2 linked regions of the Drosophila melanogaster genome follow. The protein of the gene in region 1 purifies or fractionates together with the protein of each later gene. This does not show direct contact. Each region holds a gene or a part of one and is shown on either strand. Other genes may lie near its edges. The genes, in order: grau and eEF1alpha1.

Region 1 (5,185 bases):
ATAATAGGGGATATTTCAATGTGTATGCTTTGATAAACATATATACATACGATTTACGGAAGAACGAAGCATTCGCAACTTTAACAGTGCAGTTGTGCAGTATATCTGAGATCAGATAAAGTCGAGCAATCTTCTTTGAAGCCAATGTATTGATATTTGACAGAGACTCGGCGATGCACTCGCAGATTTCATCAGCCGCATCTGCGTGCTCAATGCAGAAGATCATGGCATCTCCAATGCGGGCGCGTTCAGGAGTTAAGTGCCTAATCAAATCCTCGAGTCGGTTGCGTTGCCTATTTCAGTATACATTTACAGTACAGTAAACATTTATGTTTCGAGGATTATCTATGCTAAACGTACGCATTGGACAAGGCTCCTTTGTGCACCACAGGAGCATCGGGATCAACAACCAGCTCATCTGGCATGCCTTGAGTGTAGAAGTTGGCAATCGGGGGCTTCCAAACCGGTCCGTTTTTAAACATACGGAATTCCTCCTCCCGCCATTCATTGGGCGTATCGCCCTGTAGCAAAGAGAACAGCTTCCATCGGTAGTAGATGTGGGCAGGACTCTCGTTGTCGAAGAGGAACGCAAAGAGCGGATTCTCCATTTCCCGAATCATGATCAAAGCCTCAAACATCGGTCCCTCGCGTATTACAAACTCGATCATCCGATGGATAACATTAAGAACAGCCCTGGAAAAAAAGAAAAGCACAGTAACGTGAGTTCTTGTTAAGTGAATGTCCTTGGTGCAATTCATACTTCTCTGTGGGTATATGGACTTTAACGACGCATTTGGCAAGTATCTACAAAATTGAACATTTTCATTTTTATTTCTTTAGACGCTAGCAGGTGATTATTCACTTACCCGCTCCATATTCTCTTTGTCCTCTTGGTTGAACTCCTTGTAGTTTTTCTTGGGCAGCACATCAGCTTCACTGGGTGGAGGTTGGGCATTGAAGGGCAATCCTGAAGGAGGCGGAGGCAGGGTCATCTCAAGCAATGCTTGCGGTGTAAAAATGGGCGTATTCATTATGGGCACAGTCTTTCCTGAAATATTAAGTAAGATGTATGAGGAATAAGAACTTCAATATAAGATCTATAGATTACCCCATCCTAGACGCATCTCGTAGCCCATGATGTAGCGCCCGTTCAGTGTCTTTAGGGCCCTTTCCGCATCCTTGCGGCTCATGTAGGCCACAAAGCCGCAATTGCGTCCCCTTTGCTTCTCCTCTTCGGAGCGGGGCCACATGATCTTGATACTGGCCAAGGGACCGTATCGCCCAAAGATTTCCATAAGCTGCTGCTCGGATATCTTGGGGTTCAGGTTGCCCAGGTACAGGTTTGTGGTATTTGGATCGCCCGTGTCAAACGAACCAGACTCCTTTGAGCTGCTTGAGTTCTGGGAGGTGGTGGAGACACTGCTGCTGGGCACAGGAGCAGCTGATGCAGCCGGTTGCTGTGCTGGTGCGGAATGGCTTGAGGCCATGTGCTTGTACTTGTGGCGCTCCTCACGCTCCTCTTGAATCCTGTGGGCATGAAACAATTAGTATGGAATACACACATGCACAACCAAGTGGGCCTACTGTCTCAATTCCTCCTTGAACAGCTCCAAGTTGCTCTTTTTCTTCTCCTGGTTTTTCTTCTTCAATGGACCCGAGTCCTTTTTGAGATCCGAGGCCAGGGTCTTGGCGTAATCCTCGACCTTGTCCGAGGAGCTCTTTTCCATCAGCTTGGAGACCGGCTTGTATAGCTTGCCCTTCTCCGACTTGTCCTCCCGCCGGGATCCTGCATCATAGGTGCCGGCTTTGACCCAAACTTTCGAGGAGGGGGTGGGTGCATCTTGGAAAGTCTCTACGAACTCTTTGAAGGCCTAAAAATCGTATTGGATTATAATGCGTGGAGGAGGGATTTGCTAGAGGCGCCTACATGTGCCGCAGCAGCTGCATCCTCCTTTTTTTTCTGGTCCTCGAGCTCTTTTTTGGACAATTGTCGTTTGGAGAAGGTGCCCACCGTGAAGGCCTCCAACTTCTTTTCGCTTATCCGCTGAAAACAAGACCGAAAAATGTTAGGCTCGTTTTTCCGGCTACACAGGACACCTTTACTTTTAAAGTGGCGGATGCGGCAGCCGAATCCTTGCTTTTATTCCCTTGTTTACTCATCTTTTCCACACAATATGCACATTATCAGCAAATACGAAAATAGGAAAACCAACAATTTGCCAGTGTGACCGACGTCGTACAACCAGTGCACAGAATGAACAGCGAACAAATCACGATGCAGCCGATAGTTGCGATGGGAGTTATCGACAGAGCTATGTAAATGACTACTTTTTATTATAGTTTTATCAAATAAATGCGAAATGGATATCTGCCGCCTCTGTTTACGCGGAGTGAGCGGCGCCCAGATGTGTCTACAGATCTTCGATGTGGACTCGGGCGAGAGCAAGGTGGCGGAGGTGCTGCGCCAACATTTCTGGTTCGAGGTAAGCTGCTGCCCTCCACCCACTTTTGTGCCTGGGAATCTTTTTTTACCACCATCTCGTCTCCGGAACGCGTACAGGTACTGCCCAACGACGAGATATCCAAGGTTATTTGCAACGTCTGCTGGACGCAGGTGTCCGAGTTCCATCAGTTCTACGTGTCCATACAGGAGGCCCAGGTGATATACGCCACCACCTCCAAGTTCAAGCAGGATCCGGAGATGGTGAACACCTCCTGGCCGGAGGAGGTGCTCATGCCGGCCGACGTCCTTGCCGTCGACAACGATGTCGGTGCGCAGATAAATGTGAATCCCCTGGACGAGTTAGACCTTAGCCAACCCATGTCCCCGGAAGACAGCAAGGTGGGCATCAAAACAGAGCGACAGTCACCCGACATGGAACTCCTCTTTGAGGATGCCAACAATGAACAGGATGAGGACTACGAGGACGACGAGGATGATGACACCGACGACCTGATCGTGACCCGGAGTGGACGCAAACGTAAACGGGACGTGGCCAAGCCGGCTAAAACGAAAAGAGGAACGGTGTCGGTGGGCAGAAAGGGGAAGGAGAAGATGGTGGTCAAGCGGGGACCGCCCAAGAGGATATTCAAGATGGAACGCCTGCCGCCGTTTTGCAAAGAGGACGAGGAACTGATCAAGCGCTACATAGTCATGGGCTGCGAGCTGTGCATATTCTTGGCCGAGGACTTCGACGGCATCCGCGAGCACTTCAAGGACAAGCATCCGGACGAGCGGCCCTACATCAAGTGCTGCGGACGCAAGCTCAACAAGCGCTGCCTCATCCAGGAGCATGCGAGGAGGCATGAGAATCCCGAGTACATCAAGTGGGTCTCTCTTACCCAAACCAATTCGAAGCGATTTGATAATTAGCTTTCCTTTCCGACAGATGCAAGGACTGCGGAAAGGTGTTCGCCAATTCCAGCGTATTGCGTGCCCACTGGCTGGTCCACCATGTTCCAGACGAGGAGTGCGACTTCCAGTGCGAGGACTGCGGCAAACGCTTCTCGCGACGCAACCTGCTCGAACTGCACAAGGGCTCCCATGTGCCCGTAAATGAGCGCAAGTTCATCTGCCCGCAGTGCCCCAAACACAATGCGTGAGCCTCGCCAGCTAAACGGCAGTGTTTCCAATGCTTATCGTTCTCCTTTCACACCACAGTTTTGCCACGGAGTACCACATGCAGGTCCATATCAGCATGCAGCACCGCAAGGCGGCCAATATCTGCCATGTGTGCGGCAAGAAGATCAAGGACAAGGCTGTCTTCGAAAAGCACGTTCGCCTGCACTTCGAGGAGAGCGGACCACGGATCAAGTGCCCGCGTCCTGACTGCGAGAGCTGGCTGAAGGACGAGGACAATCTTAAGCAGCATTTGAGGCGCCACAACGACGAGGGCAAGCTGTTTATCTGCTCAGAGTGTGGCAAGAGCTGCAAGAACTCCCGCGCGCTGATTGGTCATAAGCGCTACTCCCACTCGAATGTGATCTACACCTGCGAGCAGTGTGGCAAAACCTTCAAGAAGGACATCAGCCTTAAGGTTGGATAATACATATTACCCTTATTTATTTATGTGTTGTATTAAAGCGATTGATGTTTGCAGGAGCATATGGCGCAGCACACTGGCGAGCCACTCTACAAGTGTCCCTTCTGTCCCCGCACCTTCAACTCCAACGCCAACATGCACTCCCACAAGAAGAAAATGCATCCGGTGGAGTGGGACATCTGGCGAAAGACGAAGACCGGTAGCTCACAGAAGGTCCTGCCCAGCGCCCAAGTGGCGCAAATGTTCCGGGACGATGCCGATGTCGCAGCTATTGCCAATGACTATTCGGGTTAGGCCCGGAAATGCTTAAGGAAATCGATTTGCGGAAACCATTGCTTAGTTTTTGATTGACCTTTGTTTGAAAACAAAATATATGTATAATAGGAATTATTTGAAAGTACGAGCGGTTTGTTGTCATATTGGTGGGATTTTTGGCTATTTACATTTTAATTAAGTTTTTTGAATTTAAATGTTTCATTTAGCTACATTCAGAAATATTGTTTTTGAATTTAAAAAATTTACAGTGTGAATGTCTTGAATTTTTCAATTGGAAAAAAAAGGTATGATGGTTGAAGTATCCGCTTTGTTTATTACAGTAGACTGGTCACACTGCCAGCTGCTAAAATAATAGAAAACAGTCTGCGTGGACAAACATTTAATTAAAATGAATGTAAGCACTTTATTAACGAAATCTTTGGGAATATTTCGCTCATCAGCATTTTATTTGAGCAGGAGTCCGAGATCCCCATCGACATACACACGCTGAAGCTGCAGGACTGGCTGATCAGCCGCAGAATTGTGCCCAAGAATGTGCAGCAGGAGCTTAGGGAGATCCACAGGAAGATTAGCAACGCCCTGCAGGACATGCCCTCCAATGAGCAGCTGATCAAGCTGTTGGCCCGGACAAGTAGGTGCCCAGTGCCCAGAATGCCATCCCACTAATGTGTCCCACTTGCAGATATCAACTACTACCATGTGAAGGAGATCATTGAGATCCTCAAGCAGACGGAGAAGGACACCAAGAGCGTGTTCGGCACCTACGGCAGCCAGCGCATGAAGGACTGGCAAGAGATTAGCCGCCTGTACGAAAAGAATGCCACCTACCTGGCCGAAACGGCTCAGATTTTCGTGCGCAATGTGAA
Region 2 (7,226 bases), 9.1 Mb from region 1:
CGACTTCGTCGATCCACCGTTTGTGCTGGACAAATAGAGATCAGTGGGTGCATCCACTTCACTTTACTAAATATTTAAGCTAGGACACACAGAGTACCATTTTCCCACACTGTTTCACCTTTTTGTGCAAATTACTCCAATGTAAATATAGTTATATTTAAATCCATATATGTATTTTACGATCTTAGTTTATTTTCTAGTACATTTTTTAATTTGTTTTTATACAGATTTTACGAAGGAAATAATATATCCCATAACTTTAAACAGAAATTATAAAAAAACACTTGTTCCAACTTCGTTCGTTATTATTTAAATAAATAAATCAATGCATTTTTCTCTATTTGCGATGAGAAATAAAAGCCCCCCCCCCCCCCTCAAATACAATAAAAAATATTCATTATTCTTCAGATGCAATTGCTTGCTTTATTTAAACGATTGAGGTATTTGTTGTCAGATTCAATTGTTGTACTCTTCGACTAGCTCTTGTTTGTACTTTGTGGCATCGACGATAAGTGAACTTGGAGTTAGGGACGATCGATCATGGCGCTGAAAATCGGGAGGCAACAAGCAAAGAGAGTGCTCTTTTACGGGCTGGGTGGTAAAAACAAAAGAAATACAAAAATAGGGTTTTTATTTTTTTTGTAAATATAGTTATCGCTTCTATTCTGGTTCTTTTCTTGTGTACAAAGTAGTGTGTGCAAAAGTAGGGTAAGATAAATGATACATATCAAAGTATAAAGGTTAATTTAAACGATATCATAAATGCTACAGAGGATTCCTATATATGATATGATAAAACGAAGTCAACTCCGTGCATCATACCATATTTAGTAAACTAAAGATCGACGGGGAAGTGGATGAGGAGTGGATGCATAAATGCAAGTGTTTTCCCAGTGTGCACTCTTATCCTTGGGATCCACCGTTTCCCAATTTAGGCGGCCTCGTCTGCATTTAGCATTCGTATCCGTCGAAACTCCTTTCGATGGAAGAAATTAAACTTATGCTTCTGCTGAAACATCATCTTATCGGTCATCTTGCGCAGGACAGGTGTTGGTGTTATACTACTATTGTGTTCGCTGCTGCTGTTGCTGGTATTATTGAGTGGTGTTGTTGGCTGCATTATGATGTTGGTTATATGCTTGTTGTTGCTGCTACTACTGCGTGTTGTTGTTGTTGTTGAGTGGAAGCAAACCAGCTACTTCTTGCCCTTGGTGGCCTTCTCGGCGGCCTTGGTGACCTTGCCACCGGAGGCATCCTTGAAGTTGACAGCCTTAATGACACCGACAGCCACGGTCTGCCTCATGTCACGCACAGCGAAGCGACCCAGAGGGGGGAACTCCTGGAAGGCCTCCACGCACAGGGGCTTAGAGGGCACCAGGTTGACGATGGCAGCATCGCCAGACTTGATGAACTTGGGGTTCTCCTCGGTGGTCTTGCCGGAACGACGGTCGACCTTCTCCTTGATCTCAGCGAACTTGCAAGCAATGTGAGCGGTGTGGCAATCCAACACGGGGGTGTAGCCGTTGGCAATCTGACCGGGGTGGTTCAGCACGATGACCTGGGCGGTGAAGTCGGCGGCTCCCTTGGGGGGGTTAGCCTTGGAGTCACCGGCAACGTAGCCACGACGCAGCTCCTTCACGGACACGTTCTTGACGTTGAAGCCAACGTTGTCTCCGGGAACGGCCTCCTGCAGGGCCTCGTGGTGCATCTCCACGGACTTGACCTCAGTGGTGATGTTAGCAGGGGCGAAGACCACAACGGTACCGGGCTTCAGCACACCAGTCTCCACACGACCCACGGGTACTGTTCCAATACCGCCAATTTTGTACACATCCTGCAGGGGCAGACGCAGGGCCTTGTCGGTGGGACGGGCTGGGGGAAGGATGGCATCGAGGGCATCGATCAGGGTCTTGCCGTCAGCGTTACCCTCCTTGCGCTCCACCTTCCATCCCTTGAACCAGGGCATGTTGGTAGAGGGTTCCAACATGTTGTCGCCGTGCCATCCGGAAATGGGCACGAAGGCAACGGCGGCTGGGTTGTAGCCGATCTTCTTGATGTAAGAGGACACTTCCTTCTTGATTTCCTCATAACGGGCCTCGCTGTATGGTGGCTCGGAGGAGTCCATCTTGTTCACACCAACGATCAGCTGCTTCACACCCAGGGTGAAGGCGAGCAGGGCGTGCTCGCGGGTCTGGCCGTTCTTCGAGATACCTGCCTCGAATTCTCCGGTTCCGGCGGCGACAATCAGCACGGCGCAATCGGCCTGCGAGGTACCAGTGATCATGTTCTTGATGAAATCCCTGTGTCCGGGGGCATCAATGATGGTCACGTAGTACTTGGCAGTTTCGAACTTCCACAGGGCGATATCGATGGTGATACCACGCTCGCGCTCAGCCTTCAACTTATCCAAAACCCAGGCGTACTTGAAGGATCCCTTTCCCATCTCCTGGGCCTCCTTCTCGAACTTCTCGATGGTACGCTTGTCGATACCACCGCACTTGTAGATCAAGTGTCCGGTGGTGGTCGACTTACCGGAATCGACGTGTCCGATCACGACAATGTTAATGTGAATCTTTTCCTTGCCCATGTTGGATGATTACACTATGGCTGTTGTGTGTATTCGAGTGTTGGATTGACGGAACGTTGGAACATTGGAAGGTTGCAGGGTTCGGCGGGTTGGCGAGCAAGAGAGGTTGGAATAAACAAAGGGTAAAACAATTCGTTAGCATTCGGTGGGATTACAACTACAATTATTAGTGGGTATAACACTTTCTCATTTCCCTAGCGTACGTTCGACTTTTGTTTGCATGCGCGAGCACAACCTAACCTCAAACTCTTGCAGCCGTACAAAACGTGTTTTTTGAGGTTAGGTCCAGTGCCCGCATGTAAGGGTGTGGGTAAAACGAGTGGGGCGCAACTACAGAAAAGAGCGTGCAAATAAAATTCCATATGGAAACTCGATTTTGTTTCAGTGATTTTGGTATTTTTGCTTTCGTCAACTGTCTTCAGTAGCAGAACTGAAAAATCATCATCATGTTAAATCGAAGAGTCCAAAGGAAAATTCCAGCAAATTTAATTCGCAAATACACATGTGCTTATCTGCCTATGCGTGTGTATATCTATGCCTGTGTATTTGTGTGACGCTGTTGCCGGCCGGAGGAAAAGTAAGAGAGGAATAGAGAGAGAGAGAGACCAAAATGGCGGATGTGCATTAGTGTGCGTGTGTGACTTGTACAAATGCAAGCGATCTCGCCGCGGTGGCACAATTGGTAATTGGAAAGAAATGAAAAAGAGAGGGGCACACAACGAATTATTCAAGAACGTAGTGCAGCGGCAGCCATTTTACCAAAACCAATTATGGAGTCGGTTGGAAATGGCGAAATAGCTGATGCGAGTGCCATTTCACCAGATATGCTAATGGGCTGGAAACCCAAAAAAGCACATTTTTTCGCTTGTTGCCAGGCGAATTTTTTTCGCCCACTTGACTCACGCCACTGGGTCGCCATTTTAGAATTCCATGCCGCAAAAAGAAAGAATAAGGAATATCTATAGGTCATGACAAAGGCAAGAGAGAAAGCACGTTTTTTTTTCTCGGTTAATGAGCACATCTGGTGGATGACCTCTGTGTCCGGCGTGGGCGTGGCAAAGTAATTACACACTAAGTGCACCATATTGCAGGGCGAAAATGCGGCCGGAAAAGCCGGAAAATTATTTTGAGAATGCTGGGAACTTTAACTGGGAACGCCAGTTAAAATTTTTGCCTTTGCAGACTTGCCACGTGTTTGCTTCTATGGCCACCTTTCACTTTGGAAAACCGCAGTTAGAGGTTATCTCCGGGTTTATTACACACACACAGGAAAAACACTGGAAATATGCACAAATTCGGCGTCTCAGCTGCATATTTGTTTATAAATTGTTTTCTGGCTGCAGTCCCGTTGCAGAAATTACTTAATTATAGCCTCGCAGGTAAAACTTACTCTCGAATAAGCTGAATGAGAAATCACGAAGTCTAAGCGGCGACGGATTCGAACAAAGTGAACGAGCGTTCGGCAGAGCTCAGCACAGGAAGCCTCGTTTGACACATGGTGTGACCGAAGCTACGCAACTGTCAAAAGAGCAGAAACCGTGTTCTCACTGCGGTGTTTCCACTACGCGCGAATGAAGCACTTCATTTTATTGAAATTTAAGTGATTGAAAGTGGCAAAATACAATAACCTAACGATTGAGGGATTTAAAAAACCTTGTTTGCTCGACATTGTTTTTATATGAAAAACTAAATAATCAGTGATTCCAAAAATATTTTCTACAAAACGATGTCTATAATTTCTATACGTAATATTGGAACACATATCTCTTAATATTTAAAAACTATAACAATTGCATTAGTAGTCCGCATTTTGAACTTTTAGACTAGAACCTGAACTTTAATTTGTATGTGAACCCTAACGTAATAGAACTTTAAATAACAATAGAAGCTTGAGATCGTTTAAATTTATGTAATACGTTTCATTTATTTATACATTTTTTGGCGTCCGTTGCTACAACTAAAATATGCTACAAATAAAACTATAAGTAATTTGGTATTGTATCAATTTATACAATATTGTAAAAATTTATAACTTAAGATCTCACGTTTTAATACTTTTTCTTCTGGAATTCATCAGAATGCTAATATTTATTTGAATTTGTAACTTACTGCTTAATATTTTTTGTTAGACTATTTTTTCACTCAGTTTTCACTTGTACTCAATAAATTTATTCATTGTGCATAGAACAAAAGTTGTTAGCCTGCCCCTTATATAGGACGCAATTAAAAGTTCCTAAGTGTTTTCCTAATTTTGTGAAATTAATTAATTAGTTATTAATAATATGATTATTGTTATGCTTGCGAAATCAGTTAACAATAAATGCAATTACCATCTTTTATGAAATGATAATTTGACAAAATTTTATTATAAATCGGTATCAATTAAATTAATTTAAATCTAGATCTCAACTTTTCTGTGTGACTGGAAAGAATTATAGCTAAAGCATTTAAAACCCACACATATAGACATTAGTCATTAATAAATGATGAGCCATCTTTATTTATTGTTTACATATGCAGGAAAGCTCACAACTGAGAGCTTTTTCCAACTTTAGACATTTTCGGCCTAGCCCCACCTGGCCACACTACGACGAAACAGAATAAGAAGCGACGTGGCGAAAGAGGCAAAAAGCGAATTCAATCGTTGAAAAATACCGAACCGGTCCGGTACTCAGTTTTTGTTGTAGAAGTAGGCGTTCGACGGCCTAGTTGAACTTGAATTATTCACCGATATCGCTTCAAGTGAACCCAAATAATGATGTGGCGCCTTGCTGGAGTGCTCCTACTAGGCTTCATCGCCATCTCGTCCGGAGCGGAGCAGGATGTCCTGGAACTGGGGGACGACGACTTTGCCACCACCCTAAAACAACACGAGACGACGCTGGTCATGTTCTACGCCCCCTGGTGAGTTAGTGAGTGGGCGTGGCCGGGCGCCATCCTACAACAAATGCATTGCGTGTGCGATTCGCGTATAATCCGCTTGTTGCGTCCGCAACTTAATTCGATTCCCAATGCCCAGTGCCGACCGATGCCCGATTTTCCGGCCATCGCAAGCGCAAAGTACACGTCAGCGTTTGCCTTGCTTTTGCCGGCAAATAAAGAAGGAACGAGTGACGGAACGAAACGAGACGCAAAGAGAGGGGCAATGATGATATGCCAGTATTGGTGCCGTCGGCCATTTTAGAGCGCGGGGTGCCAAAGTGCCTAGTTGGTACAATTTCCGTGCAATTCCTGCTCCACTTGTCCACTGGCTAATGATAGTGAGCAGGCATAGGGGCCCCAGTGTACATAGCGCATCTTTTATTATAGTTTCTTATGCCTATGCATTATACCCATAATCCCAGGAATGTGTAATTCTAAGGGTTAACTTAGATTTAGCTTGAAACTGGTTATCATAGTCTGAAACACTCACAGTTCTCATACAAATGTAATTTCCCAACAGTTTACACCAACCATATTAAAACTTCAATTTTAATTGCCTGCCTACTCACAAAAGTTATGCTGATTGTGCTATAAATTTCTCATGTCAGTAGACACATTTTTAACTTCCATCGTAATCCACACTGAACACAATAACCTTTTAATACATTTTTGTTTAGTACATAACACATATTTACTGTGCCTATTTACTCTCTTTTGAGCCATTTGTTTGCCCATTATCAGGGGTAAACTATAAGCTCACACTTGGACAATGAACTAGGTAAATTATTAGCGTTTTTTTTGCCGGCCGGCTTTCGAAATCCCCAAAGAGCTGTTGAACTACTTGGCATGGAGACTTGATTCCCTCATGACGAACCTTATCAGTATTCAAGCATAAATACACAGGGATGAAGTTGAAAAAGTTGTACACTGCAATAAAACTGCTCTTTTCATTATAACATAGTTAACTTAAGGCATCACTTATCTTTATCAAAAATGAATTATTATCTGCACTGCTAAGAGTGCAGACTATACTCTGCTGTTTCAAATAAGTACCAAGTCGTTTTTCTCTCTGTATGCCTAATGGGCACTTGTACTTGTGTGATAAGACAGTTGATAATTCCAGCACCCTTACTTTAATTACAAGCTAGTTTTTTGGGAACTTGTCTTCCCGTTGCCTTGATAACAAATGATGAATTAGATAGTATTGTTACCAACATAATGTTTAAGTGACGTGTCCTAACAGAGTGTTTTTTCCTGTTTAAGGTGCGGCCACTGCAAGCGATTGAAGCCCGAGTACGCCAAGGCGGCGGAGATCGTGAAAGACGATGATCCGCCAATCAAACTGGCCAAGGTTGACTGTACGGAAGCTGGAAAGGAAACGTGTAGCAAGTACTCCGTCAGCGGCTACCCAACGTTGAAGATTTTCCGTCAGGATGAGGTGTCGCAGGACTACAATGGACCACGCGAAGCCAGCGGCATTGCCAAGTACATGCGCGCCCAAGTGGGACCCGCCTCCAAGACCGTGCGCACCGTTGCCGAGCTGAAAAAGTTCCTGGACACCAAGGACACCACGCTGTTCGGCTACTTCAGCGACAGCGACTCCAAACTGGCCAAGATTTTCCTGAAGTTCGCCGATAAGAACCGCGAAAAGTACCGCTTCGGACATTCAAGCGAAAAGGAAGTCCTCGATAAGCAGGGCGAAACGTAAGTGGGAGGC

The links.
Region 2: the proteins of grau (region 1) and eEF1alpha1 purify together in Drosophila melanogaster (affinity purification with western blotting; one study listed by BioGRID). This does not show direct contact.

Annotation. Positions count from the first base shown.
Region 1 is NT_033778.4:21,009,021-21,014,205, reverse strand, and holds grau (grauzone), read left to right. Parts: upstream 1-2,284; 5' UTR 2,285-2,360; coding exon 2,361-2,483; intron 2,484-2,560; coding exon 2,561-3,327; intron 3,328-3,389; coding exon 3,390-3,599; intron 3,600-3,661; coding exon 3,662-4,037; intron 4,038-4,100; coding exon 4,101-4,337; 3' UTR 4,338-4,442; downstream 4,443-5,185. Other genes in the region: CG9346 (uncharacterized protein), read right to left, coding at 51-293, 361-693, 761-804, 867-1,048, 1,109-1,527, 1,585-1,871, 1,928-2,044, 2,104-2,160; CG30291 (uncharacterized protein), read left to right, coding at 4,708-4,713, 4,776-4,950, 5,002-5,185.
Region 2 is NT_033778.4:11,888,936-11,896,161, reverse strand, and holds eEF1alpha1 (eukaryotic translation elongation factor 1 alpha 1), read right to left. Parts: upstream 5,028-7,226; 5' UTR 4,918-5,027; intron 4,767-4,917; exon of another isoform or gene 4,697-4,766; intron 4,041-4,696; exon of another isoform or gene 3,978-4,040; intron 3,040-3,977; exon of another isoform or gene 2,967-3,039; intron 2,621-2,966; exon of another isoform or gene 2,608-2,620; 5' UTR 2,588-2,607; coding exon 1,196-2,587; 3' UTR 642-1,195; downstream 1-641. Other genes in the region: MCPH1 (microcephalin), read left to right, coding at 1-37; ERp60 (endoplasmic reticulum p60), read left to right, coding at 5,343-5,491, 6,773-7,213. UniProt on the Drosophila melanogaster protein: This protein promotes the GTP-dependent binding of aminoacyl-tRNA to the A-site of ribosomes during protein biosynthesis.